3 linked regions of the Caenorhabditis elegans genome follow. The protein of the gene in region 1 interacts with the protein of each later gene in a pairwise test. Each region holds a gene or a part of one and is shown in the gene's direction. Other genes may lie near its edges. The genes, in order: mett-10, R07B7.2 and npp-9.

Region 1 (8,210 bases):
AATCTGGATGCCTGAAAATAAAGAATCAAATAAAAGCAGAAAAATATATAAAACCAAGGACTTGAAAAATTATTGGATACAAACCATGTTTAGATGAATAAATAAAAATATAAAAGAAACTAATTCATTCCAATAACAAAATATCTAAATTTAATTCTCCGTTGTCTTCTTTTTGGCTGAAAATCCAGCTGGGCCTCCTCTCTGCTCTAAAATGAATTCAAGAGTTTTTGGAAATAGCGCCCAGGCTTTGAACTTCAATCCCATATCGCCCATCAACATATTGTACGATTCTGTAATGAAATCAATTAGTTTTACATATTAAAAAGGTAGAATTCACCAATTAGTTGTTCTTGTTGTTTCCGGTCCTTACAAACTTGCAATAAGCGTCGTAGCCTGTGTTCAATTCCAAGTTGAGCAAGGAATTCTCTGGAAATTTTGGAATTATTATCAATTTAACTTTAATTTCCTTTAAACCTTTGCTCATTTGGTCCGTAGATAACAACACGATCTTTGACAAGAGTCGATAAGTATCCAAAGTCGACATCAGCAGTTAAATCTGCCAATCCAGGATTTTCCAGTGTATCAACTTGCTTGTGATTCTTGTATGCACGGAAAGAATGCGTGTTTCGAGAACCGTCATGCCCATAGTCGACTAGAAGAGAGAATCCTCCAAATGTTGTAATTCTATCAACGATTTGATTCACAACGGTTCCAGATTCAGGCGAGCATTCCCATGTTACACGAGATGAGTCATCACGAATTGCGGAAGGGATTAGTCCTCTGAAAAAAATATTTATATATCGGAAAAATATTTAAAAACGATTTTTTTTACTAACTTTGTATGTAAATTTTCTCCTTTAGATTTCATGAAACACAAATCCCCATCCTTCGTAAGATTTACGTAAACTTCGTTCCACGAGTCTCCCGATTTATGAAATTGATGAATTGGAAGAGCATCGAGAAATTCGTTTCCTATGAAGACAGTGAATCCGTCGGGAATATCATCAATCGATTTGTACCAGTAGATATTTACACCGGTCCGTGTTTTGTTTTTTCGGATGAATGGAGTATCTGAAAATATATAAAAATTTAAGTTTTTTTCGACCTGCAAAAGGATACCGATTGAATTTTTAGACGTATAAATACATAATGATTTTTCTTGCTCATCAATTAAAGCATCAGACGTCTCTACTAAATGAACAGACACATCTTTGTCGTTGAACTTGGCCAATGCGTTCAGAACATCATTCATCAGCTGAGCCCGTCCAGGTCCAAGCTCCACGAGCTGCCATGATCCTTTGTGTCCCGTATTTGCTAGCTCATGAAATACCCTGAAGAATAAACAGTTTTCCTCGTAAATTTACATCCATACCATACTCCGATCATTTCACCGAACAATTGAGTGAGCTCCGGGGAAGTAATGAAATCTCCTTTAGCGCCGAATACCTTAAAATATCTGAATTAACAAAGAATGACAATTTGGAGATGAGATAACCTTCTGATCTTTCGAAAACTGTCCGTAATATCCAACAAGAGGTGCGGAAACACAGGTCTTCATGTATTCAGCAACTGTGATCGGCCCGGAAACTCGAATTTTGTCCACAAGAAACTTCTTCAAGTGATTGGTTTTTTCGGGCGATGCATAACCGGGTGGTTTTAAGATTTGCTTCGAATATTGGCGTAGAGAATTAATCAGGATATTTTGAACACGTAACGACATCGCTCCTTCAATAAACAAACCGGAAACGGTGTGAAGAAAATAAAGAAAAAAAAGCAATTAATATTTTGCGCGTCAACTTCGCTGCCTGATCTGCATGTTACGCCGTGTGGTGTTTGCACAGGTAGGATTTACGAGATTTATTTAGTTTTTTTTTCTTGAATTTATGGATTTATGTATTTTCAAACCCTCGAAAACATATAATATGTGTCGTTTCCTCGTCTATTTTATAAATTAAATTGAAGAAATATATATATCATTATTTATATATCATGCTTTTATATTTCAGGATGTCACAAAACAACGAGATGCATCCTCGTAACCCTTATCGAAACAAGCCGCCGGATTTCAAAGCATTGGCAGTGGAGTATCCAGAGTTCCGCAAGTTTTGTCAATACGTGAGCAACGGAAAAGTTACGTTCGATTTTAAAAAGGATGCTGCTGTTCGCTGTCTCACTCAGACTTTGCTGAAAAAAGATTTTAATTTAGATGTAAGTTTTTTGAAACTTTTTGAAAACTAATTTTAAAAAACCATGTATGTATATATATTTATGTTTGTAGGTCGAAATACCACCAGGACATTTGGTTCCACGTGTTCCGCAAAAACTCAATTACTGCCTGCTCATCGATGATCTCCTCAAAGCGAATAAGCTAACGAAGAATGTGATTGGTATTGATATTGGCACCGGAACATCGTGTATTCATGCTTTAATAGGAGCTCGGCAGTTTAACTGGAAGTTCATTGCCACTGACGGAGATGAAAAATCAGTTCGTGTAGCTCATGAAAACGTGGCAAAAAATGGGCTGAGCAGTTCAATTTGTGTAGTTCATGTGAATCCCGATGTTAAAACAGTGCTAATGGTAATTAAACTTTAAATTTTAATTTAATTTATAACAAAAAAAAATGTTTTGTAGGATGTAGTCAACACGATTCCGGATACAGATTATGCATTTTGTATGTGTAATCCTCCGTTTTTCGAAAAAGGAAATGGCGATGACAAGTTTTGTGAAGATATCTCATCATCCACGGAAACATATTCAAATCGTGTTGCTTCTGAATTCCGAACCGCTCCTCACTCTGCTACCTTCGCCTCAAGTGCAGAATTATTTGTTGATGGAGGCGAAGTAGCTTTCGTTAATAGGATTATTGATGACAGTGTGCTTCTACGGGATAGAATCAAGTAAATTTCGAATTTTTTAATATTTATATGAATATTATACAGCATTTCAGAATCTACACAACAATGATAGGTCGAAAGTCTAGTCTGAAGCCCCTGCAAAATCGTCTGCAACGCTTCGGAGATGACGTTAAAATTATGATTTCTGTGCTGAATCAAGGAAAAACGAAGCGCTGGATGTTGGCATGGACATTTTCAAAATCTGTATCTCTTACAACAATTGTTAGTGATTTTTTTCCTTCAAAAAAATTAATCGCGCTTGGTTTACAGGACCGTCCAATTTCATTTCAATGTCCAAAGCCTGGATTAACGAGGTTAATGCAGGAAATAAGTATATTAAATGGACGTTTGAGGCAAGAAGATACATTAGCTATTGTTGCTGAGTTCAAATGTGTGACATGGACAAATCAAAGAGCCCGGAAAAGAGCAAAAGCTATTCTATCAGAGTCTAGCATCAAAAAAGCAAAGTGGAACTTCTCAAACGTGGCTTGTCAAGTAGCTTTTGGAGCTGGAGATGGAAAAGATTCATACACAGACGCTGGAAACTTTGTGTCTTCTGAATCGATACCAACGAACAATTTAAATGCGTGGGATAACGCTTCGCAAGCGTACTTTCCTTTGCCGAATGGTGAAGTTCCTGGCCCGATCATTCGAATACGTATCCAAGTTTTTTCTGAAGATTCTTATGATTCGATTTCATTTGAATTAATATCCGGTTCAAAACAACACCTTCATCAACTAGTGCAGTATTTGAAAAATTTAATATGCCGATAAATAGCATAATTTTATTTATTCAATATTTATACCAATTTTGGTTTTTGTGAGATAATAAGAGCTTTAATTTATTTTTCTCTAGTGAAACAATTTAGTTTTATAAAAAGCAAGTATATCGGTTCATCTTCATATTCAAATTTAAAAAAGAAACATTCAAGGAGTTCTAGTGAGTACATCATCATCGTCGTATGTGTCTGTTGGAACTTCGTGGTTGCACAATTCCCTGAAATTTCTCTTGAAAACCTTTTCTAGGACCGTCTACTCACTCTGCCTCATCTACTGGATTCACTGGACTCAGATCCCACAACCAATGGAGAATTCGATGATATTCTGAAATTCGGAAAAATTATTACAAATTCCAAAAAATTGCATACTTTCTGGTTCCATATTGATATGAGCTTCCCTGTGACATGACCAGCTCGAAAATTCAACTAATTCGTGACTAGAATTCTCATCTGATAATTTATCCATTTCCGTTGATCCTGTGAAAATTGTATTCATAGATTGAATATGATAACGGCTGTAAATAAGAGAATATTAGACATTGATAAATTAATAAAAATATACCTAAAATCAAGAGCAAAGTGAAGAGATGGAAGATCCATGGAAGGGATATGATCAAGTTGCTGAAATAGAAATATTTACGGCTAATATACATTAAAATCCATAGATCTAGAGACTCACAACAGTTCGGGTATTCATCACTTTCTGTACAGCACTCAAATAGTCTTCAACACAAATCACACGACTCAAACAAATTGATACGGTTATACGATTGTTGATCACAGTTCGCATTTCGTTGATTTTACGCAAAAATTCTAGAACTTGAGTAAGCTTGTTGAGTGGCACAAGGAGTAGAGAAAGAAGGCATCCATCGAGAAAATGATTCCACGTGCGGAACATTGAATTCGAATCTTTTGGAATTGATGGATTCCAGTACACACGACGCATTCGGTGACTTTCTAAATATTTCATTTCGAGAAACATTGAGGCTTAATGTATTCTGGGGATGCACAAAATCAGAATTTTGAAATTAAATGGCATTCGCGCTCCTCCCCCATAATTTTGGTCTCGTTAGGTATTGGCGGAAAACCAATACCTAACGAGTCCCATATTATTATATAAGGGACGTTTTCATTTGGCGTTGGAGCTTCACTTTGATTTCAAATTTCACACTCACGAAAGTTCTCTACACTCTCCATTTCAAAGCTTCTAGTTTTCGACGGAAAAACCCGCAAAATCGAGCTAATTTTCCCATTTTCCATAGAAATTGACACAATTTCCGAAGGAATTTTAGAGCCATCATCCAGTTGAAAATGCTCATCAGATGGAACAACAAGACAAAATCTACGAAGATGCAAATTCTCGAGCGATTTTTCCTCTAGAAACAGGAGCTTATCCTCGAGCAGCTGACGGGCTTCATCTCTACGCATCCCGTGAACCCTCTCACGATCGTAAATTTCCTGAATTTTGACTTTAGGTCTCGTTGGGATTAATTAAAGAATACCTGCAAAAGTCTAGAAGCTCTGAATGGTACAACCTTTGGAACTGTGACCAACTGCAAGTCAACAGTCTGATCCACGTTTTCTAGGCCTTCCATCTGAATTCAATTTGTAGCATAATAAATTTATTGTTTTATTAAATACTCAGCTGCAAAATTTTGCGAAAAAACTACGATACCCGGTCTCGCCACGACTAATTTTTGTTTAATGCGAAAAGGTGTGCGCCTTTAAAGGGTACTGTAACTTCAAAATTTTGTTGCTGTGGAATTTGTACCCATTATTCATAGTTCGTTAAAATTTGATGTGTTTTTAAAAACATTATTATCGAAAACTATGAAAGATTACTGAAAAGTGCGCAGCAATGAAAGGTACAGTACCCCTTAAAGGCGCACACGTGTCGAGACCAGGGCTCGCGCAAAAACCACAAAACTTCACATATGAGTAATAATAACTTCAAAAATATTACTCTTTGCCGCCGATTCTTCTTTCGCGCTCCACGTCTCTTTTTGTGAACACCTCCTGGACCTTCAGCTTCTTCGTTTGGCTGTAAATCAGCTCAGAGATCAGTTGTACATACAGTATCCACTGCTTACCTCAACATCTTCCTCATCAATATCATCAAATCCTGTGTATTGAATGATTCTTCTGCCTTCTGTTAGATGTACGCTCATTGTCGAGCAATAAGCTTTTTACTAACTGATTTTGAAGTTGGAAAACCGTGTTTTAAAAAAAAATAAAAATCTAACAAGGTAAGTTCACGTTATATTTTTATTCATGAAACATAGTTAAACCGGTATTTAAAAACAACAAAAAAATAAATAAATTGTTTAACACGTTAATTCCTGATGGCCCGTTTCCTGTTCGGTTTGATTGGAAGATTGGCAATCGTGAACGCTGCTTTGCAAACTTTGCATATTGGAGTATATTGGCAGAGGACTGAAAGACAGATGGAGCACACCCAACCGGAGGATACAAGCTGATGATGACACGCACAGGATGCTCGATAATCGACTGACTGAAAATTATAAACTATGAGTTGGTTCCAGTCGTTGGTTTTGGCTTACATTATGAGAAAGCTTCGAGAATACTGCACGGTGAGTTGGATCGGTTAGCATATTAGTCTGGAATCAAATAATTAATATGAAGATCAAAAATCTGTGAAACTTACCATTAAAATTTTCAATAAAGTCTGTGGTTTTTTGGCATGTAGAAAAGATCCGCCAGTAATATCTGCTGCCTGTTGAAGGATTCCACCAGTAAAATCATCTCCCATCGATACAACATCAACGCAGATTGACTGTTTTGCAGCAGAGAAGAACAAATTCATTAACGATCCGTGTTCGCTTCCCATGATAGGAGTAATTGATATCACTACTGCTCTATTCGTAGCCTTTTCAGATGCGGTTTCCGATTGTTCTGATGTAGTCTGAGGTCCAAGAGAATCATCACATGGATCAGCAGTTACTACTCGGCTGTCTTTTTTCATATCTGAAATGTCGAAATATAGCTTCCGTTTTTATATATTTTTTTGTTAATTGGAAGTTCCTCCAACTCACGGCAAAAAGCATGAGCCAAGGCAGGTCCTAGAGGTGCTCCAATAGTTGCATCATTAGTTAATGCATCACTACTCAATAGTTCCCGCAAACGCTTCACAACAAGAAACGAAGCATTCCGATCTTCACATCTTGTAGAAGAATATATCATTTTGTTATCCACATTTCGTCCGTATGCAAAAACTAGAAGCTGATTATTTGCAGATTGTCCTAGATGAGCATTGCAGAATGATACCTAAAAATAAAATTTTTGATGAAATCTTTTAGCGGAATCAAATCAAACATACGATTGCTCGTAGAATAATTCCAATTGTTCGATCACCGTGTGCACTTGCTAGCATTCCCCATGAGCAAGATGATGTTTCGATTAAGACCGATAGTGTGCTCATCTGGAATTATTTAAAAATTATTTCATTTATACTTGGATAATTGACATTAATTTACGAAATCGTCAGACATTTGGAAACGTTAAATAAATGCTGGCCTAGAAAACGAACATTGCGGCCTTGCAGGGCAGAGAAAATCGATAATGAACACTCACACCGCTCCGTGTGCTCCTCTAGCTCTTTCTGGCTGCACATCTAACAATTATTAGGATTTTTAATTTTTTTTTCCCTTTAAATTGAGAAAAAATACTATTAAATGTTGTCGTATCCTTAATAATTAATTATTTTTCACTTCAAGAATAGAGAAATTCATTATTTTAAAATTAATTAATTATTATTAAGAAAAATATTGATTCTAAAAAGGAAAACAACTCGAATTAAATTTGAAAAAAAGAAAAAAAAGAATAGAAACACACATTAAAGGGTAAGTTGTCCCGATGCGGTGCGGGTCTCGTCACGATTTCAACAAAAGCTGCATGCGCCTTTAAAATAGTACCGTATTCGTATCGACTTTCTCTCATTTTTGAATAATTTCTCGCTTCATTTTTCTTGTGTTTAAACATGTTTTAAGACAAATAACTTATTATTTTTATCTTTCTGGCTATTTGTTTTGAAAAAATCTTCATATTTTTCAGGAATGCAAACTCAAGCGCGGCCACCAGTTCCGCAGGGGCCAAGATTCAACCATCCGGTAAACTTTTAAATCGTTTTTCTTTTAAAAATACCTTTTTGATTTACAGGCAACACCACAGCAAGTACGTCGGCCGATTAACGCGCCGTTGCCTGGACAAACCGCTCAAATACAGGGAAACCGGGGCCCACAGCCTCCGAAAAAGAAAAAGCGATATGCCGATAAATTAATTCAACCAAAGGTAAATATACTTGAAAACTTTCGAATTTTCCTTTAAAAAAATAATAAAATAATTTCAGGTTCGCGAACTGGTTCCCGAATCACAAGCCTATATGGACTTGTTAGCATTTGAGCAGAAGCTTGATTCAACAATTACAAGAAAGAAGATTGATGTTCAAGAAGCTCTGAAAAGACCCCAAAAAATCAAGAAACGTCTTCGTATATACATATCACACACATTTATAGCTGG
Region 2 (8,210 bases), on another chromosome or scaffold:
AGATTCCGTCCAACAAACAACAACAATAATAATCGTCCAACAGTCATTCGTCGTCAAGTCGTTCAACAAGTTCCAAGACGCGCTCAAGTTCAAAGACCACAGGTAAAAATTCATTATTATTCAGTATCCAGTGTCAGAATTATATTGTTCGTTTTCAGTATGAGCAGGTCGTGCAAAGAGTAATCCAGACTCCAGTGGCTCAGCAACGTTTCCAACGCCAGCCACAACGCTTCCAGCAACAGCAACCTCGTTTCCAGCAACAACCCCCGCGCTTCCAGAGACAGCAGCAGCCACAACAACAGCAAGTTGTGAGAAGCGTCAGATATGTGAATGCAAGACCACCTGTTCAGAGAAACAATGTTGTTCGTCAAGTGAGTATTCAAACTTTTATTTGCTAGAATTGAATTAAAGATTATGATTGAGTTTTACAATACTAGCCACCAATTGGATTAATATTATGAAACATAAATCTTAGGAATCTGTGGTGACCAATATATTGGTTTTTCAGGTTCAGCCAGTTCAATATCGTCCAGTCCAATACGTCACTGATCAGGTTGTCAACTCTCGTGGTCGTGGATTCCGTGCCTTCTAATTTCATCAACTCGTACACAATCAAGGATACTCAGAAGCTGCGTAGTTGTCTACACACCTTGCTTCATTTTATAAATTTATAATTCCTTCTTCCATAAACACCATGTTTAATAAAATACTCCGCCATACTCATTCTATTCACATCCAACAATAAACATGTTGCGTGTCTATCGAAATTAGTTACTTCTCTTATGTCTACAATAAGTTCAGTTGGATTTATTTCAACATTTCAGATGACATCCCGTAACAGGGTGCGAACAAGTTCTAATAGGTAAGAGACTAAATATCACTTGACTTCTCGGAAATAATATTTTTCAGTCTGGATCCAAATGAAGATCCTGTGTCGGGGCTAGAACGAGTCATGTCAAACTCGAATCTAGAACACGTTGCTCGGCAAAGAAGACGACTAGTGCGGGCAAAAACCAGCAATTTTTTCTGAAAATCAAGTTATTTCAGGAGGAAGAGCTGTTATTCTCAAGGCAATTGGATGATGTTGGTCGAACGGATAGCCATGAAGCATTGTCTGCTAGATACGAAAGTCTGAACTATGAAATATCTGAGAATCGACTCTATAGAGATGCTGAAAAGAAACCATCTCACCAGGTTTTGAGATTTCATAGATACAGTAACAATGTCACTTTTCAGTTAACTCTTTGGCGAATTTCTCGAAATCGTTGGTTTGTATGCTTTTTGATTGGAGTTTTCACTGGACTCGTCGCTGCATTTATTGATATTATGGTACACTACAGTAAAGATATCAAATTTAACTGGATTCTCAAATATTGTCAGTTATACTTATCTAACTAATCTATTGAAAACGAAACATTCAGTGCTCTCAAAGTGTGGCGAAGAGCAACGTGGAACGACTGCAGGGTGTATGTGGACCGTAATGATAGCTTGGATAGGATATAATTGTGTTCTCGTAACTATAGCTGCAATCCTTGTGATTTATGTAGCTCCGATTGCTGGAGGTTCTGGAATTCCTCAAATAAAGTGTTATCTTAACGGAATTGCGATTCCTGAGGTGTCATTTCCAGCTCAAAAATTTCTGAAACTTTCGTTTTTTCCAGGTTGTTCGTCTCAAAACGCTCGTTTCAAAAGCAGTTGGAGTTGCATGTTCGGTTGGCGGTGGTCTTTGTGCTGGAAAAGAAGGTCCTATGATCCATTCTGGAGCTGCTGTAGGAGCTGGGATATCACAGGGAAAAAGTTATTCCCTTGGAATCGATTTCGGACTTTTCCGCGAGTTTAGAAATGATCGAGAAAAAAGAGATTTCGTTTCTGCTGGTGCTGCTGCTGGAGTTGCTGCTGCTTTCGGAGCACCAATCGGAGGAGTTCTATTCTCTTTAGAAGAAGGAGCAAGCTTTTGGAATCAAGCTTTGACATGGAGAATGTTTTTCTCTGCAATGATCTCTTCATTCACTGTAAATTGGATTCTCAGTTGGTTCAATGGACGTAGTGGATGGCTCTCATGGACAGGTCTCGCGAATTTCGGAGTTTTCGAAAATAAGGATTATAATATTTGGGAAATTCCTTTGTTTCTTCTCATTGGAATAATTGGAGGCTGTCTTGGAGCTTTATTCAATTATTTAAATACAAAACTCACCGAGTTCCGTAAAAAATATGTGAGCAGCAAACTGGGTCGTTTGTTCGAATGTCTTCTTGTTGCCGCGGTATCAGGATTTCTTGCTTTCCTCACAATATTCGCAATTGACGATTGTCAGCCGATAGGAGCGAATCCTACAGCAACATCAACACAAATCAATCAAATGTGGTGCAAAAAAGGAGAATATTCTGCAGTAGCTTCTTTATTTTTTCAAAATCCTGAAGAAAGTGTGAAGAGTATGTTTCATAGTCCGATAAGTAAGTTTGATCTTTCAAAAACATTTAAGATCCAAATATTTTCAGATTCTTTTGGTGTCACAACTCTTGTTATTTTTGGAATTGAATATTTCTTGCTCACTCTCTGGACGTTCGGAATCTCTGTACCTTCTGGTGTCTTCATTCCAGCTATTCTTACTGGTGCAGCATGGGGCCGCCTGTTTGGAATTTTTGTTGAACGACTTTTCCCTTCGGTTACTGGAATTGATCCAGGAAAATACGCATTGGCAGGAGCTGCCGCACAACTCGGAGGCGTTGTTCGAATGACAATTTCATTAACAGCTATTATAATGGAAGCAACTAAAGATATTACATTTGGATTACCTATTATGTTGGTGTTGATGGTAACAAAATGGGTTGGAGATATGTTCAATGAAGGACTTTATGATGCTCATATTGATTTAGCAGAAGTTCCAATTCTTGGTTGGAATCCACCAAAGATGAGCAGAAACATTTTGGCAGAGTTGGTTTTTTTGTTGTAACAATTCGAAAATCTTTTTTTAATTTTCAGCCGCGTGATGCGAAAAGATGTTGTGGCTCTAGAACGGCGAGAAAGAGTATCCAGAATCGTTGAAATTCTTCGTTCCACACTTCATCATGGCTTTCCAGTAGTAGATAGAATCGAAGAATCGCCATACGAATCACTCCCTGATTATGGACGCCTGAAAGGTTATATTCTGCGATCACAACTGTTCAAACTTCTGGAAAATCGAATTTTCGAGGAAGAAGGAGCTTCAAACTCTGCACTTCCAAATGATTTTTATGAATGCCAGGATGACGACGAGTAAGTGATTTATATTGAATAAAATACGAATTTTAAAACAGAAATTGTTTGGTATTCAACATACTACGAAAATATTATAATTCAATTGTTATATATTTTATTTTCAGCCAAATGAAATCTGTTGCTGAACTCGGATTAACAAATTTCGACGAGTCATGTTTCCTGGACATTGAGCCCTACATGCATCCTCATCCGCACCGTGTTCCACTGAACACATCTCTTCCATTCATTTTCCGACTTTTCCGTGGACTTGGACTTCGATACCTTTTTGTGGTGAACGATGATAATCATGTGAGGACGAACATTATCCAAATTTATTTTTTAGTATTGTTTTTCAGCTTCGTGGTGTGATTACTAGAAAAGATGTTGCCAGATTCCGTGAAAGACGCCGAAACCGCGAGTATCATGTTGATGAACTTTATATTTCTGAATCTTAAATGTTCTTATTCTCTTTCATGTTCTACCATTGCCATTTTGAAAACGTGTTTTTTAAGTCATGGAAATGCACAGAGAGTTTAAAAAATATGTTTGCGTTTAGCAAGATGTCGTTTGGTCTCTTTTGGGAAATAAACTGAAAAACTGAAATTTCGTTTGAAAAAATAAATCGCAACACTACGTTGCAAAATGTGAACTTATTTTGAAATTTTCTGTTCATGTCATAGACACTTTCTTAACAATTTTATTCTGTGATAAATCTTAATCGGTACGTTTGTCTAATGTGTTTTCCGGTATTTAATTTCATTAATTATACTCTCTAGAAGGCGTGAAATAATACCATTATGATTTTATAGACAATTATAATTTTATAAAGGAGCATCGGTAATTAGGATGTACAGAAACACAATATAATTTTTAAAAAGGGTTGAAAGTAAACTTTTTTCAAAATTTAGGTATTATTGAGCCAAAGATCGCATTCGTAAACTCTACAATACCTAAATTATGATGCGAACTAATGCAGGAAAACAGACCAGGACTTTTGTGTATTTAAATATGTTTTGAAAAACGAAATGGGTTACTGTAGCCGAGGTAAAAGTACGCAGAGTTGCGTCATATCCGTTGTAAATAATTCGCCAAACGAAAATTATTTTCTAAATTAGTTTTTAGGAACATTTTTGTTTGGAATTTTGTATGAAACCATTTCACAAACCCTCATTTGATTTTTAATAAATTAATAATCATTATAACGCTTCAGATGAGTGCTTCTGACGGTGATAACACAGAACAAACTGGACGACGTCGCAGTTTTGGGAACTTGTTTGGATCAACACGTGTGCCTTTTTCCTCACTTTCCGATATTTATGCAAATCAAAGTACGTTCGCAAAAGATCAAGGAGTACAATCTGAAGTCGACGTTGCTGATGCCTGGAGCCAACATCACGCTCCAACAAGAGATCAATATGTCCAATCAGAAATTATCACGGCTGTGGAAACTTCAAGCCAATACGAGGTTCAAACAAAGGATAAGGAGGTGGAAGCCATTTGTTCAACGGCGAACAGAACAACACAAACTTGTCATGCAACCAATATCGCCGGTACAAATTCAGAATCTTGTTTAATCGAAAAATTGGCAAATTCACTTTTGGAACATCTTCAAGCTCGCCGGCCCATCAAAGCTCGGACAGCATTTCCAATTTATCTCCAGCAACCTGAACAACTCCAGTTGCTTCCTCCACCAGATCAGCAATCCGCGCCTGTGCCGCCGAGTCATCCGTTGCAAAATTCTGAAGGTAACCCACTTTAATATTCGAACTTTTTCCCATATTTTAATTCGTCCTACGCTCAGGTGCATACATTGAAAATAGGAACATCTCTTGTATATGTCCGCAAAATATTGAAAATATTTCTAATACTCATCATAAAATTAAATTTAAGCTCGTCAAGAGGATCTCGAACAAACTGAAATGCCACAAGCTTCGCAACAAATTGGAATTAATGAGACCAGTCTCAATGATGCCGATTCTCAATCGTTTTTCCATTCGAGACTTCATCAAACGGAACAGAGAGAAGGTATAATTGGCAATAGAGCTTACTAATATAAAATAAATCAATTATTTTGAGAGTAGTAATTTACAGAAACAAACTCAAACAGCATGCAGTCAATTCATTCACAGGTTAATCCACCAGCAAGTCAAGAAACAATGGAAAGTCATTTCCCTGAAATGATCAATTCTCGTAAGTCAGACCATCAACTTTGCTTCTCGTTTAAAAAAGTAACTTCAGAGCGATGCTCATCATTCCCAACTCGACATGATGGATCTTCGCATTTTGCTCGTTCATCATCTGGCTTGCTCGGAAGTATGTCTTCACAGCAACAACGGTCCCAATTTCCTGTTCCCCAAGAAGAAGGAAATCAGGCTGAAGACATGCGAGGGGCTCAGCAACCACATAATGCTAGAAATTTGTTTGGAGGTGAAATATTTTATATTAAAAATGCACTTGGCTCTGTTCAGTTTCGTGTTCGGCTAAACTTATTCTAACAGACAATGAAGAAATTCAAAATTTGTCTTCCACTGCCACCAGAAATCAGTGAATTCAATAATTTTATGAATTGACCAGCCGTGGACCGCACCTCCGGCGCGGCTCCCGACCTCTTGGAGCTAAAAACTAATGTTTCTGAAACTACCGTAATCATGCAGTACTCCTACCGTATCACTATTGTACCACTACAGTAACCCGACTATATCCTTACACTAACCTCAACTCACTATCCCTCCAGAAGCTAAAATTTCGCAGACTACAAAGACTACATAGACTACAAACTATGGACAAACGGAATAAGCGCTTTATATATATATATATATTAGTAAATGATAGTAATTAATTAATTTTCAGGGGTCGGAGGGATGTTTCCATCAATGCCGAATTCCTCGGGAGGACAGGGACCCGATTGGCAAAATAATCATTTCATTCGCCCATTCGGTCAACCTGCGGCTGGCATGATGAGTTGGCATCCAGGAATGATGCCATCTCGTGAGTATAAATTTTGACTACCTCTAATTATAGTCAATTAAACTACTTATGAGAAATTACACGTTTTAGATATGAATAACTCCGCGGCTCCATCTTCTTTTTTTGAATCTCCGTTCATGCCGCCATATGATGTTTTTATGCAGCAGCAGATGCTTCTACACTCTCAATACGGTTCGCTCAATTTCTGCAACTTATAGTAAAGGTATATGTTACAATTTCAGCGGCGTGGGAGCAACAACGGAATCATGCAATGATGTATCAAAATGCACAAAATCAAAATTCGGCGAATGTAAATCCTTCATTTGCCGATATCCCTTCTGCAGCGCCGATTTCTCAGCCAGAAGTCAATGTTAATGAAAACCAAATCGTTCCCGAAGAAACCGAAAGGCTTGAGGCTGATCTTGAAATCGAGAATACTGTCGATGCGATCATCGGTAATAAAAGTATAAATTACGACCTAACATAACATAACATAATATAACAGTAACAGATGTTGGATCCGTCAACCAAGCTGTATCTGGAGTCAATTCGATTGCTCGAGAAACAGAGGAAATCAATAATCAAGATGTGCGAAATGAGACACCAGTGGAAGATTTCGGATCCATAATATCAGCGATTTCTATAACTGAAAATAGAAACGAGTCTCCAATGCCAAGCGCATCTGAAACCGGTGAGGATCGAACACCAGTTGTTTAAATATAGGTTACACAATGTACACCAGGGATGTGTGGGATCTGGCTTTTTCGGCGAACGGAATTCGTCGTTTGTCGCTCAGTCCTGATGCGCCAAGTTATTTCTATATTATTTTATTTCTATTTTTCAGATGACACATCTCCACATACCTCGCGCTCAAGATATGGATCTTCTGTTGCCATTTCCACCGGTATGAAAAGAGCACGACTCGAACCATCACAATCTCCACCGGGCTCATCTCGCAAAAATTCAAGGAATGAGACGACCAAGAAAAATTCAAAAACTCCTTCTTCTACAATTGATAAAGAACCTACTTCATCAAAGAGGACAAGAAAAGGTATTATTGATTTCGAATTTATGTAAATAACCTTTATAAATTAACTACGTTTTTCAGCTCCAGCGCGCTACGAAGCGGAATGGAACGCCGAACAAGGAGGCGATACTCGTCGTGCAAAAAGGTGGTCAAAAGACTTCTATAAGGCTCCCAGTAAAAAGTAGATTTAATTTTTGAATAGGTAATAGTAAACTTTATTGTTTTTTGTTCATCATTCGTTGCCCATTGTTTCACCGATTTAAAAACGCGATTTCTCAAATCTCATTAATGTTTCCCTTTTTATTGCCAGATGTCTGGAAACCTAATGTTCCTTCTCCATTTTCTATGGTTTCTCTTGTTTTTTTTAAGTTTTTTTCTCATAATAAAGTTTTTTTCAAGCTCTGTCGTCCAAAGTAGTCTAGGTGTTCAGTGGAATTATTGAATGTAAGTTTCAGCGTCTTCAAGGGACATTGAGTGGGAATGGGGGAAGTGTTGGGTTACTGGTGCTGCGTTTGTATTAGAAATCAGAAAGTAAATTGAACGAAGAACAATTGTTTATTGGGTGAAATGTTCGGAATATAAATTTAATTTCGACATTAATCTATATACATAACCGTAATATTTAATTCTTTTTTCGAATTAATCAAGCAAATTGATGTTTCTTTTTCTCTTCTTCAATCGTCTCTCGTGTGACAAATGTGAATGATTGTGGTTTATCAGTTGCCATTGGAAAGAATAAAATATTGGCAATAAACATAAGTAAACCATTGAGAATATATACATGACCCCATTGAGTATGAGATGATTCATCTGATACAAATATGGCAACTGTTGCTGGAGCAGCAAATAAGGCAATACATTTCATAAATTGAATCATCGCAAGCACAAAGTGAGCATATTGACTGAAATTTGTTTATGGATAATTGCATGGTTTTCAGAATAATTTACAGTGAATTCATAATTTTCAGTGTTTAAATTTTT
Region 3 (8,210 bases), 6.7 Mb from region 1:
AATTTAGTTAATTTTCTCTAAATTTTTCGGGTATTTTTTTTGTAAATTCTGGGCTGTAAATTTTGGAAATTTTGGGTTTTTTGTATTTTTTTGTTATTTTTTCGTAAATTTTCGTTACTTTTTTTGTGAATTGAATTTCGGTTCGTTTTCAATATAAAAATTTCATTTTTGGAATTTTTTATTTGGAAATATGTAAGAAAATATTTTTTTCGTAGATTCTTTTTCAAAACTGTCTCAGAATTTTTTTTTGACACCCAGGTTAGTTTTCAACACTTTTGTAACTTTTTTTGATTTTTTTAAAATGGAATTTTTTTTTAAATCAGTAAAAAAAAAATTATCCTTTTCTAAATACCAATCTTTTTTTTTTCGAGTAGAATTTTCAAAAAAAAAAAAGGTTTTTTTTTAAATTTATGTTATTTCTAGTTAATTTTGTATTTAATTTTCGAATAAAGTCTATAAAACATGGATTTATTTCATATTTTCCATTACTAACCGGATCATTAGTAGATCTAACAGAAAATGCATCACTAGCAACACTTTCAGAGTCAGAAGGAATAGTTTCTAATGCAGATGAAATTGCATTTGGAATTGATTGAAGTAATGCAGCAAGTGTACTTTCATTTGAATGTATTGAATCTTCAGATGGTGAACGACGTCGACGATTTGATGGAGATTCAGTTGATGAAAGTCCGAGGCCTAGAAGATCAGCTTCAGGGATTTCAGACATTATTGCTGACGAGGATTCCTGGAAATTTATTGAGTCTCAGAGAGATTTTTACAAAATGTTTGACCATTTGTTTCTTATTTTTAGATGAAAATAACATGTTTTTCCTGTTTTATTGATAAAAATTGTGTGTTTAATTGAAAAACGTTTTTTCATTATTTTCCTGAAAATAGCTTAAATTTCAGACATTTTTCTAATTTTTCAGAAGAAAAAAAATTTTCTCATAAAAAATTTTTTTTTTTGCGAATTTATCGATTTTCGGGAAAACCGAATTTTTATTTTTCCGATTTTTTTGGAAAAAAATAGCTCAAATTTTGACATTTTTTTCTTTTTCAGAAAAAAATTATAAACATAATTTTATTTAAAAAAATTTAATTTTCGTATCAATTTTCTACATTTTTTAATTTTCGATATTCTCTGAATTTTTAAAATTCTTTTTTAAGAGAAACAGGATTTCCTCTTTTTTAAATTTTTCGACAAAAAAAGTCATTTTCGATCATTTTCGTAAAAATGTGACCATTTTCAACGAAATCTCTGATTTTTAATGGTTTTTCCCAATGAAAAAAAAAATATTTTTTGGTATTTTTTGAGTTTTCTTGTAAAAAACATGGAAAACATACAAAAATGTGATTTAGATGCGGAAAAAATATATTTTTTTTGCAATTAAATTGATGCAAAACTTCGAAAAAATGGCGAAAAATTTTAATAAAACCTTAAAATTCGTACATTTTAACGGTCTCACAGCTGCTGGAAATAGATTTTTATTTAAAAATCTCTTTGTTTCGCATATTTCTGCTGTTTTTGGTACATTTTTTGGATTCCGAACTAAATCTCACAAGAAATTGTTTTTCAACAGTAAAAATCCATTTTTCCGGAAATTTTCACGAAAATGGTTGGAAAATAATAGTTTTTCGACGATAAATTCAATTTTTCGAGAATTTTTCATGTTAAAACTCTCACAATAGAGGTATTTGCTGGATTTTCAGCTTTAGTTTCTCCTGATTCTCCGGTGAATCTTTTAGAAATCGACGCGGATGCATCACTGCCAGCAGGCTGCTCATTCTGCAATTTTATCGATTTTTTCTCAGTTTTCAGTGGATTTTTACCATCGCCTGCCGATATTGTCCAACTTGAGCGGCGAGTTGTTCTCCATACTGCTGAGCTGATTGTTTAAGCTTTCCGGCTTCATTATCCAGCCGGTTTTTCAGGTTTTTGAACATTTAAACCTGAAAAAATCGATTTTTTAGTGGGGAATTTGCAATAAAATCGAAAAAAAAAGTATTTTAAAGGTTAAAAACCATATTTTTAAGAAGAAAAAATCATGAAAAGTTGAAAAAAATTCATTTCAAAAAACAAAAACAGAAAAAATAACAAATTTTAATCAAATTAAGCCTGAGATCCGTTTGAGAGTTTTCTTTTCAATCCGTTTTCCTTCGATTTTCCCAGATTTTCACAAAGTTTGATAGTTTTCACGGACAAATCGATCATATCAACAGCGTTGGCAATGGATTTTGACAATGATTTCGGATCTTTTGATTCGATTTTTCTGAAAATTAACTTATTTATTTAGTTATTCGAATAGAAAAACTATTACATGACTACAAATTCGCCTTCGCTGCACACTTCCCGTCGAGCACCACTTCTTCTCGGCTCTTTATCGATTTTTATGACATCTGCCACGGTTCGAGCCGCTTCTTCTGTTCCGACGGATAATCGTACGCTTCTGGAATTAATCGGATTAGAAACTGCTGTTAGAACTTCAGAAAATGTTAATTTTGAAACAAAAACATTTAAAAAACAGTTTGTTTTTTGTGTTTTTTAGCGAAAAACTCACGCTGAGTGGATATATGCCGTGCTCGGAGAGCTTGGGTCACATTCGTCCTCTGAAGATGACGATGAGCTTGTGTCTACTTCCATTTTGTTGTTGTAATCACTAAAAAACACAATTTTGAAAGTTTCTGATGAAAAATCAATAAATTCGCTGAGAAAAGTGAATAATAAATGCTATTCCAGGCAAAATTGACATTTCAAAAACCGAAAAAGCCATAAAAAACGACGGAAAATATCAAAAATCCTGTTTTTCGCCTGAAAAACCGGTATTTTCCATGAATAATTGCCAACTCATGGTTAAAGGCGCGCGTGTCGATTTACGCAACGGGTCTCGCCACGGCGCAGGAATTTGAACTTTTTTCGAAATTTGCGAAGCTTGGCGCCCAATTTCTATTTATTTTAGACTGTTTCGCCATAGTTTTTCCGTATTTTTACGAAAAATAGCTGGAAAACATTTTTTGTGCGTTTAAAAGCATATTTTATACAGAAAAGACTAGTTTTAAAGGTAGGAAAGCCCTATTTTAAGCAGGGAAAGCGTTGGCGCGAAATTTCGAAATTCAAATCCCTGGCGCGAATTCTTTGAAGTATTGCTGCTAATTTTCAACTAAAGAGACCGCAGTATTCGTCTTTTTATCTCGCTTTAGCTTGAAGTCTCTTGAATTGTTTACCTGATATTTTTCATATTTCAGCTCTCCTTTCGCAATGAGCGATCAGAAGCCGGTAAGTGAATCTTTTCGAATGTTGCTCAACATGATTCACGGTATTTCAGAATATGGGGCGCATTGTCGCCAGCGTCGTGGATGTGCAGCAGTTGATGACAATGCAGTTTGACTCGCTTATCAAAAGCATGGACTCGTTGAAGGTATGCGATTCATGAAAAACTCAATTTAATACTTATTTTTCACAGATTGAGCACCAGACCGGCGTCACCCAGCTTCGCGATGATATTCGTCGATCCGAGGATCGGTTTCAGAAGCAGTTGTCCGATTTGAGCACTAATCACGGAAAAGAGCTCGAGAGACTTCATCAAATTATACACACTCTTCTTGCTCGTGATGCGAATCCTCTCGGCTCAATGATTCCTCCACAGCAGCTTCAGCAACAACAGCAAATGTTGATTCTTCAGCGACAAATGGAGATGGCTCATGTGCAGGCAGCACAAGCTCAAGCTCATGCTCACGCTCAAGCTCAAGCCCAAGCACAGGCCCAAAGCCAAGTTATGGCTAATTTGCTCAATGCTGCGAAGCCAGCTATTCCCGTTACACAGCCACTGGTCGCCACTACAGCACAAGCAAAATCGACAGTTCCAGCTTCTGGAGTTATTGCACCAAAGGTAACAAATTTTCGGGTTTTAGTTCCAGCAATTAAAAATTCAATATTTTTCAGACATCTCCACCAGAAGTTGTAATTCCACCTGCTAAGCCAACATTCTCTACTCCAACGCCTGCAGTTGTTCCAAAGCCAGCCACCACCGGATTCTCATTCGGCGGGACCAATCCAGCTACTTCAATCTTCGGTAAAAAGCCTGAAACTGCTTCCCCAGTCGTGGTTCCAGCAGCTAAAGATGATGAAGACGAAGAACATGATGAGGATTACGAGCCAGAGGGCGAGTTCAAGCCAGTCATTCCACTGCCAGATCTTGTCGAGGTGAAAACTGGAGAAGAAGGAGAGCAAACCATGTTCTGCAATCGTTCAAAACTCTACATTTATGCCAACGAGACGAAGGAATGGAAGGAGCGAGGAACCGGCGAGCTGAAGGTTCTCTACAACAAGGACAAGAAGTCGTGGAGAGTTGTTATGCGACGAGACCAGGTGACCATTTCGGAGGAGACACTCCCTTCAAATATTGAGAATGGAACCGAAGAATTGTGTTGGAATATTCAGGTTATTCCAATTACAGCTTTTTTCACATTTTTCGGCGTTTTCCTCAACAGAAAGATCTTAATTTAAATTTAAATACCTTAATTTAGCATTAAAATAAATTACAGGTTCTCAAAGTCTGTGCCAATTTCCCAATTCTCGGCTCGATGACCATTCAACAAATGAAATCCAACGAGAAGGCCTACACATGGTTCTGCGAGGACTTTTCCGAAGATCAGCCAGCTCACGTGAAGCTTTCCGCTCGTTTCGCTAACGTCGATATCGCTGGAGAGTTTAAGACTTTGTTCGAGAAGGCTGTCGCTGAGGCAAAATCATCGAGCAACGCTGGAAAGACCATCGACAAGGAAATCAAGCCGGCGGCTGAGGTGAAGAAGGAAGTCAAGCAAGAAGTTGTGATTCCATCAAACAACAAACCGGAAGAGACTGGATTTGGAGATCAGTTCAAGCCAAAACCAGGATCTTGGGAATGCCCTGGATGCTATGTTACTTGCAAAGCTGACGAGATTGAATGTGCCTGTTGTGGGACATCGAAAGACGGATCTGTCAAAGAGAAAAATATATTCTCTAAGTAAATATTCTATTTGAGTTATCTTAAAATTAAAAATTTAAATTTGCAGACCTTCGATCCTCCAGCCTGCCCCAGGAACTCCAAAAGTGACATTCGGATTCGGAGCATCTGCTCCAGCCAAGGAACCTCTTGCTCAAACATCTCAGTTCGGTGGATCACTCAGCGGATCTCCAAGCACTAGCAGTAGCATTTTCGGTGGTGGAACACCAAAGGGAACAAGCGTTTTCGGTGGAGGTGCTGCTAATACTCCAACTTTCTCATTCAACAAGCCAGCTGCCGCTGTCAATGCAACTACCCCATCGTTCAATTTCAACAATCCTGCAGCTTCAACTGCTTCTCCGGCAACCTCTACGACTCCAGGAAATTCATTGTTCGGAGGTGGACTCTCCAAGACTGAATCTACAGCTTCTTCAACTACTACTCCGTCGTTTATGTTCGCCAAGAATTCTGAAAGTGCCTTCCCAAAGCCAACTTTCTCATTCGGAAAGCAACAGACTCCATCAACGACTGCACCAGCTAAACAAGAAGAAAATAAACAGTCCGAGACGCCAAAATCCGTGTTCGGTAGTGGATTCACGTCTGGAGGTGCAACATTCGCTGCCCTTTCAGCCAACTCTGCCAAATCTGGCTCCATTTTCGACGCAGCAAATGTCAAGAAGGCCCAAGAAGAACTTGCTGCTCAGAAGAAGGCAAGCATTTTCGGGAGCAAGAACACCACGTTGAACACGACTTCTGCAACTTCACACGATGGTGATGAGACGAATGAGGATGGAGATGGGGAGTATGAGCCAGAAGTCGAGTTTAAGCCAGTTATTCCTCTTCCGGATTTGGTTGAGGTGAAAACTGGTGAAGAGGACGAGGAGGTCATGTTCTCCGCCAGATGCAAGCTTTATAAGTACTATTCGGATCTCAAGGAGAATAAGGAACGTGGACTCGGAGATATTAAGGTCAGATTTAGGATTTTATATCAAAATGAGCCAGCTTGGCATGTTCTTTTGATAGTTTTCATTAAAATTTAGTGATAAAACGTAGAAAATAACTTATTTCAGTTGAAACAGTTAAGAAAAGTGCTAGTTTTGCGCACTTTTCAACTGTTTTGCAAGTATTTTCTATGTTTTTTCACTAAATTTTAATGAAAACTATTAAGAAAACAACTGATTTTTGACTCATAGAGGCTAAATTTGAGAAAAATAATTTATTATTTCAGCTCCTGAAAAGCAATGACAACAAATATCGAATCGTGATGCGTCGTGAGCAAGTCCATAAGCTCTGTGCCAATTTCCGTATCGAAAAGTCGATGAAGCTCAGTCCGAAGCCAAACTTGCCAAATGTGCTCACATTTATGTGCCAGGTAGCAATTTTTAATTTCTTTTTATATAAAAATGTACTATAAATTCCTTATTTTTCAGGACTTCTCAGAAGACGCCTCCAACGCTGATCCAGCCATCTTCACCGCCAAATTCAAGGACGAGGCGACCGCCGGAGCATTCAAGACGGCTGTTCAGGATGCTCAATCGAAGATGTAATCCTCTGCTGATTATTTAAATTATTTTATTATTGTTATTCCTCCCCACCCAGCACTCTGTGTTAGTATTCCCCACCACCAATTTTATTTATGAACCTAGTTTTATTCATCCCCATCTGCTGTCATCTATAGTCCTTTAAGTGTAGTTTATATTTGTCTGGTAAGGTTTTTAAAAAAATAATTTCCTTATTTCCCCCCCATCTCTCTCAAAATCCCATTGTTCTCATAAGTACCCCCCACACACTATCATTCATAATTTTTGTCTTTAAAACTTAACTATATTGTTCACATTGTCCCGGCATCGATTTTTCCCCACTGGTGACAATCCAATAAATTGTGAATGCATTGAAGAATGAGATTTATTTTGAGGGCGGGAAACAAATAAATAGGGATTAGGAAAAAAAAGAAATAAATTATCGTTTTATTTGATCATCAAGATGGGTGATATCTGAGAAGACGAGAACTTTCGATGGAATTGTACGCTGTGGGCAGAGAATTGACATTGTTCGCTTCTCCAAATCAACCTGAAATTTGGATAAAATTGAAATTTCCGTTCGAGACCCAAAAACTCGACGAAATACCAACCTCCGTGACAAGACAAAATCCAAAAACCGGCGATTTCAGCACATTTTCGTCGGCTTTCGTGCTCCGCGAGAACGCGAACAAATGATGTTTAATGTCGGCACTGGGCTCCATGATAACCAGCTTTGTCTCATGATTTTCAACTTCCATTCCGAATGGTAGACATGAATCGGGCAGTTGCTCGGCTCCGATTTTACAAAGAGTGACGTCATCGAAGCTGACGTCAAATGTGAATGGGTAGAGATTGTTGGCACGGGTTCCGTAGAAATACTGCAAAAAAAAAGTTTTTTCTTAACAAGTTAGGCTTTAAAACACTGAAAAACCAAAAAAAAGAAAAAACCCGCAAGTGCGGTAGGGTTGCGGAAAAACCGTGTCAGACAAATAAGTCCCGCCCCCTCAAATAATAATTTTTCGAATATTTAAGCTCTAAAGCCAGTTTTACTCGAATTTCTAGACCATAAAATACAGAATTCTTTGGAAATGTTTTATTTTTAGAAAAAAAATGCCTGAAAGGCCCAGGGACAATATTTTCGTGAAGAAAATTAATTTTTCAGCTCAAAAATTCAAATATATATATTTTTCCGATTAAATCAAATGTTTTCCAATAGAAAATAGACAAAAAATACAGAAAACTTGTCAAAATCACTCAAAAACTGCAAAAAATTTCATAGAGCGGAGCCTTTTAGCACGTGCGGCAGGGCTGCGGAAAAACCGTTCCAGGCTTGCAAATAAGCTCCGCCCCTTCAATTTATATTCATTTTTCGAATATTTCAGCTCTGAAAAGCTGATTTTTGTCGATGTCTCTAGTGCAAATCAAAGATTTTTTTGGAAAAACTTTATTTTTCGAATTTTGAGGACAAAACCTACCCGATGAACGTTTTCTCCGCGCATTTTCGAACGAATTTGCCCGGTTCGTTGTTCAACTCCACCGGATTTTGGAACATGTGTGAGCTGTAAATGAATGATTAACTTTCAAACAAAAAACAAGGATTTTCGCGACATACTCTGACGAATTCCGGCAATTCTTTACTCAAATCACTGTAGAGCCTCTCGTGATCGAGCACAATAACCACGTCGACTTCAAATGCCGATGCCGCTTT

The links.
Region 2: the proteins of mett-10 (region 1) and R07B7.2 interact in a two-hybrid assay, tested with the Caenorhabditis elegans proteins (one large-scale study listed by BioGRID).
Region 3: the proteins of mett-10 (region 1) and npp-9 interact in a two-hybrid assay, tested with the Caenorhabditis elegans proteins (one large-scale study listed by BioGRID).

Annotation. Positions count from the first base shown.
Region 1 is NC_003281.10:10,113,036-10,121,245, forward strand, and holds mett-10 (U6 small nuclear RNA (adenine-(43)-N(6))-methyltransferase), read left to right. Parts: upstream 1-2,000; 5' UTR 2,001-2,007; coding exon 2,008-2,208; intron 2,209-2,278; coding exon 2,279-2,578; intron 2,579-2,632; coding exon 2,633-2,898; intron 2,899-2,948; coding exon 2,949-3,117; intron 3,118-3,165; coding exon 3,166-3,669; 3' UTR 3,670-3,831; downstream 3,832-8,210. Other genes in the region: nuaf-7 (Protein arginine methyltransferase NDUFAF7 homolog, mitochondrial), read right to left, coding at 151-290, 338-426, 475-780, 837-1,071, 1,120-1,331, 1,373-1,446, 1,496-1,720; ZK1128.3 (uncharacterized protein), read right to left, coding at 3,932-3,999, 4,044-4,189, 4,237-4,295, 4,354-4,631, 4,850-5,132, 5,177-5,269, 5,638-5,715, 5,765-5,842; gtf-2H3 (General transcription factor IIH subunit 3), read right to left, coding at 6,007-6,186, 6,236-6,292, 6,340-6,659, 6,728-6,959, 7,012-7,113; ham-3 (SWI/SNF chromatin-remodeling accessory subunit 1), read left to right, coding at 7,748-7,801, 7,851-7,982, 8,041-8,210. UniProt on the Caenorhabditis elegans protein: RNA N6-methyltransferase that methylates adenosine residues at the N(6) position of a subset of RNAs and is involved in S-adenosyl-L-methionine homeostasis by regulating splicing of S-adenosylmethionine synthase transcripts (sams-3, sams-4 and sams-5).
Region 2 is NC_003283.11:12,055,983-12,064,192, reverse strand, and holds R07B7.2 (PUM-HD domain-containing protein), read left to right. Parts: upstream 1-4,443; 5' UTR 4,444-4,445; coding exon 4,446-4,980; intron 4,981-5,125; coding exon 5,126-5,260; intron 5,261-5,326; coding exon 5,327-5,425; intron 5,426-5,473; coding exon 5,474-5,662; intron 5,663-6,085; coding exon 6,086-6,223; intron 6,224-6,292; coding exon 6,293-6,394; intron 6,395-6,444; coding exon 6,445-6,666; intron 6,667-6,707; coding exon 6,708-6,893; intron 6,894-7,046; coding exon 7,047-7,253; intron 7,254-7,310; coding exon 7,311-7,414; 3' UTR 7,415-7,631; downstream 7,632-8,210. Other genes in the region: pqn-53 (Prion-like-(Q/N-rich)-domain-bearing protein), read left to right, coding at 1-102, 159-371, 509-592; clh-6 (Chloride channel protein), read left to right, coding at 825-862, 910-1,000, 1,048-1,194, 1,237-1,375, 1,422-1,615, 1,662-2,451, 2,497-2,932, 2,981-3,253 and 2 more; F10C2.7 (Major facilitator superfamily (MFS) profile domain-containing protein), read right to left, coding at 7,873-8,131.
Region 3 is NC_003281.10:3,399,310-3,407,519, reverse strand, and holds npp-9 (Nuclear Pore complex Protein), read left to right. Parts: upstream 1-3,243; 5' UTR 3,244-3,256; coding exon 3,257-3,274; intron 3,275-3,323; coding exon 3,324-3,416; intron 3,417-3,461; coding exon 3,462-3,887; intron 3,888-3,940; coding exon 3,941-4,438; intron 4,439-4,542; coding exon 4,543-5,003; intron 5,004-5,052; coding exon 5,053-5,950; intron 5,951-6,210; coding exon 6,211-6,354; intron 6,355-6,412; coding exon 6,413-6,529; 3' UTR 6,530-6,876; downstream 6,877-8,210. Other genes in the region: golg-4 (GRIP domain-containing protein), read right to left, coding at 494-745, 1,685-1,786, 1,831-1,944; F59A2.5 (L antigen family member 3), read right to left, coding at 2,111-2,270, 2,319-2,447, 2,559-2,641; Protein clpf-1, read right to left, coding at 6,942-7,052, 7,114-7,380, 7,978-8,061, 8,115-8,210.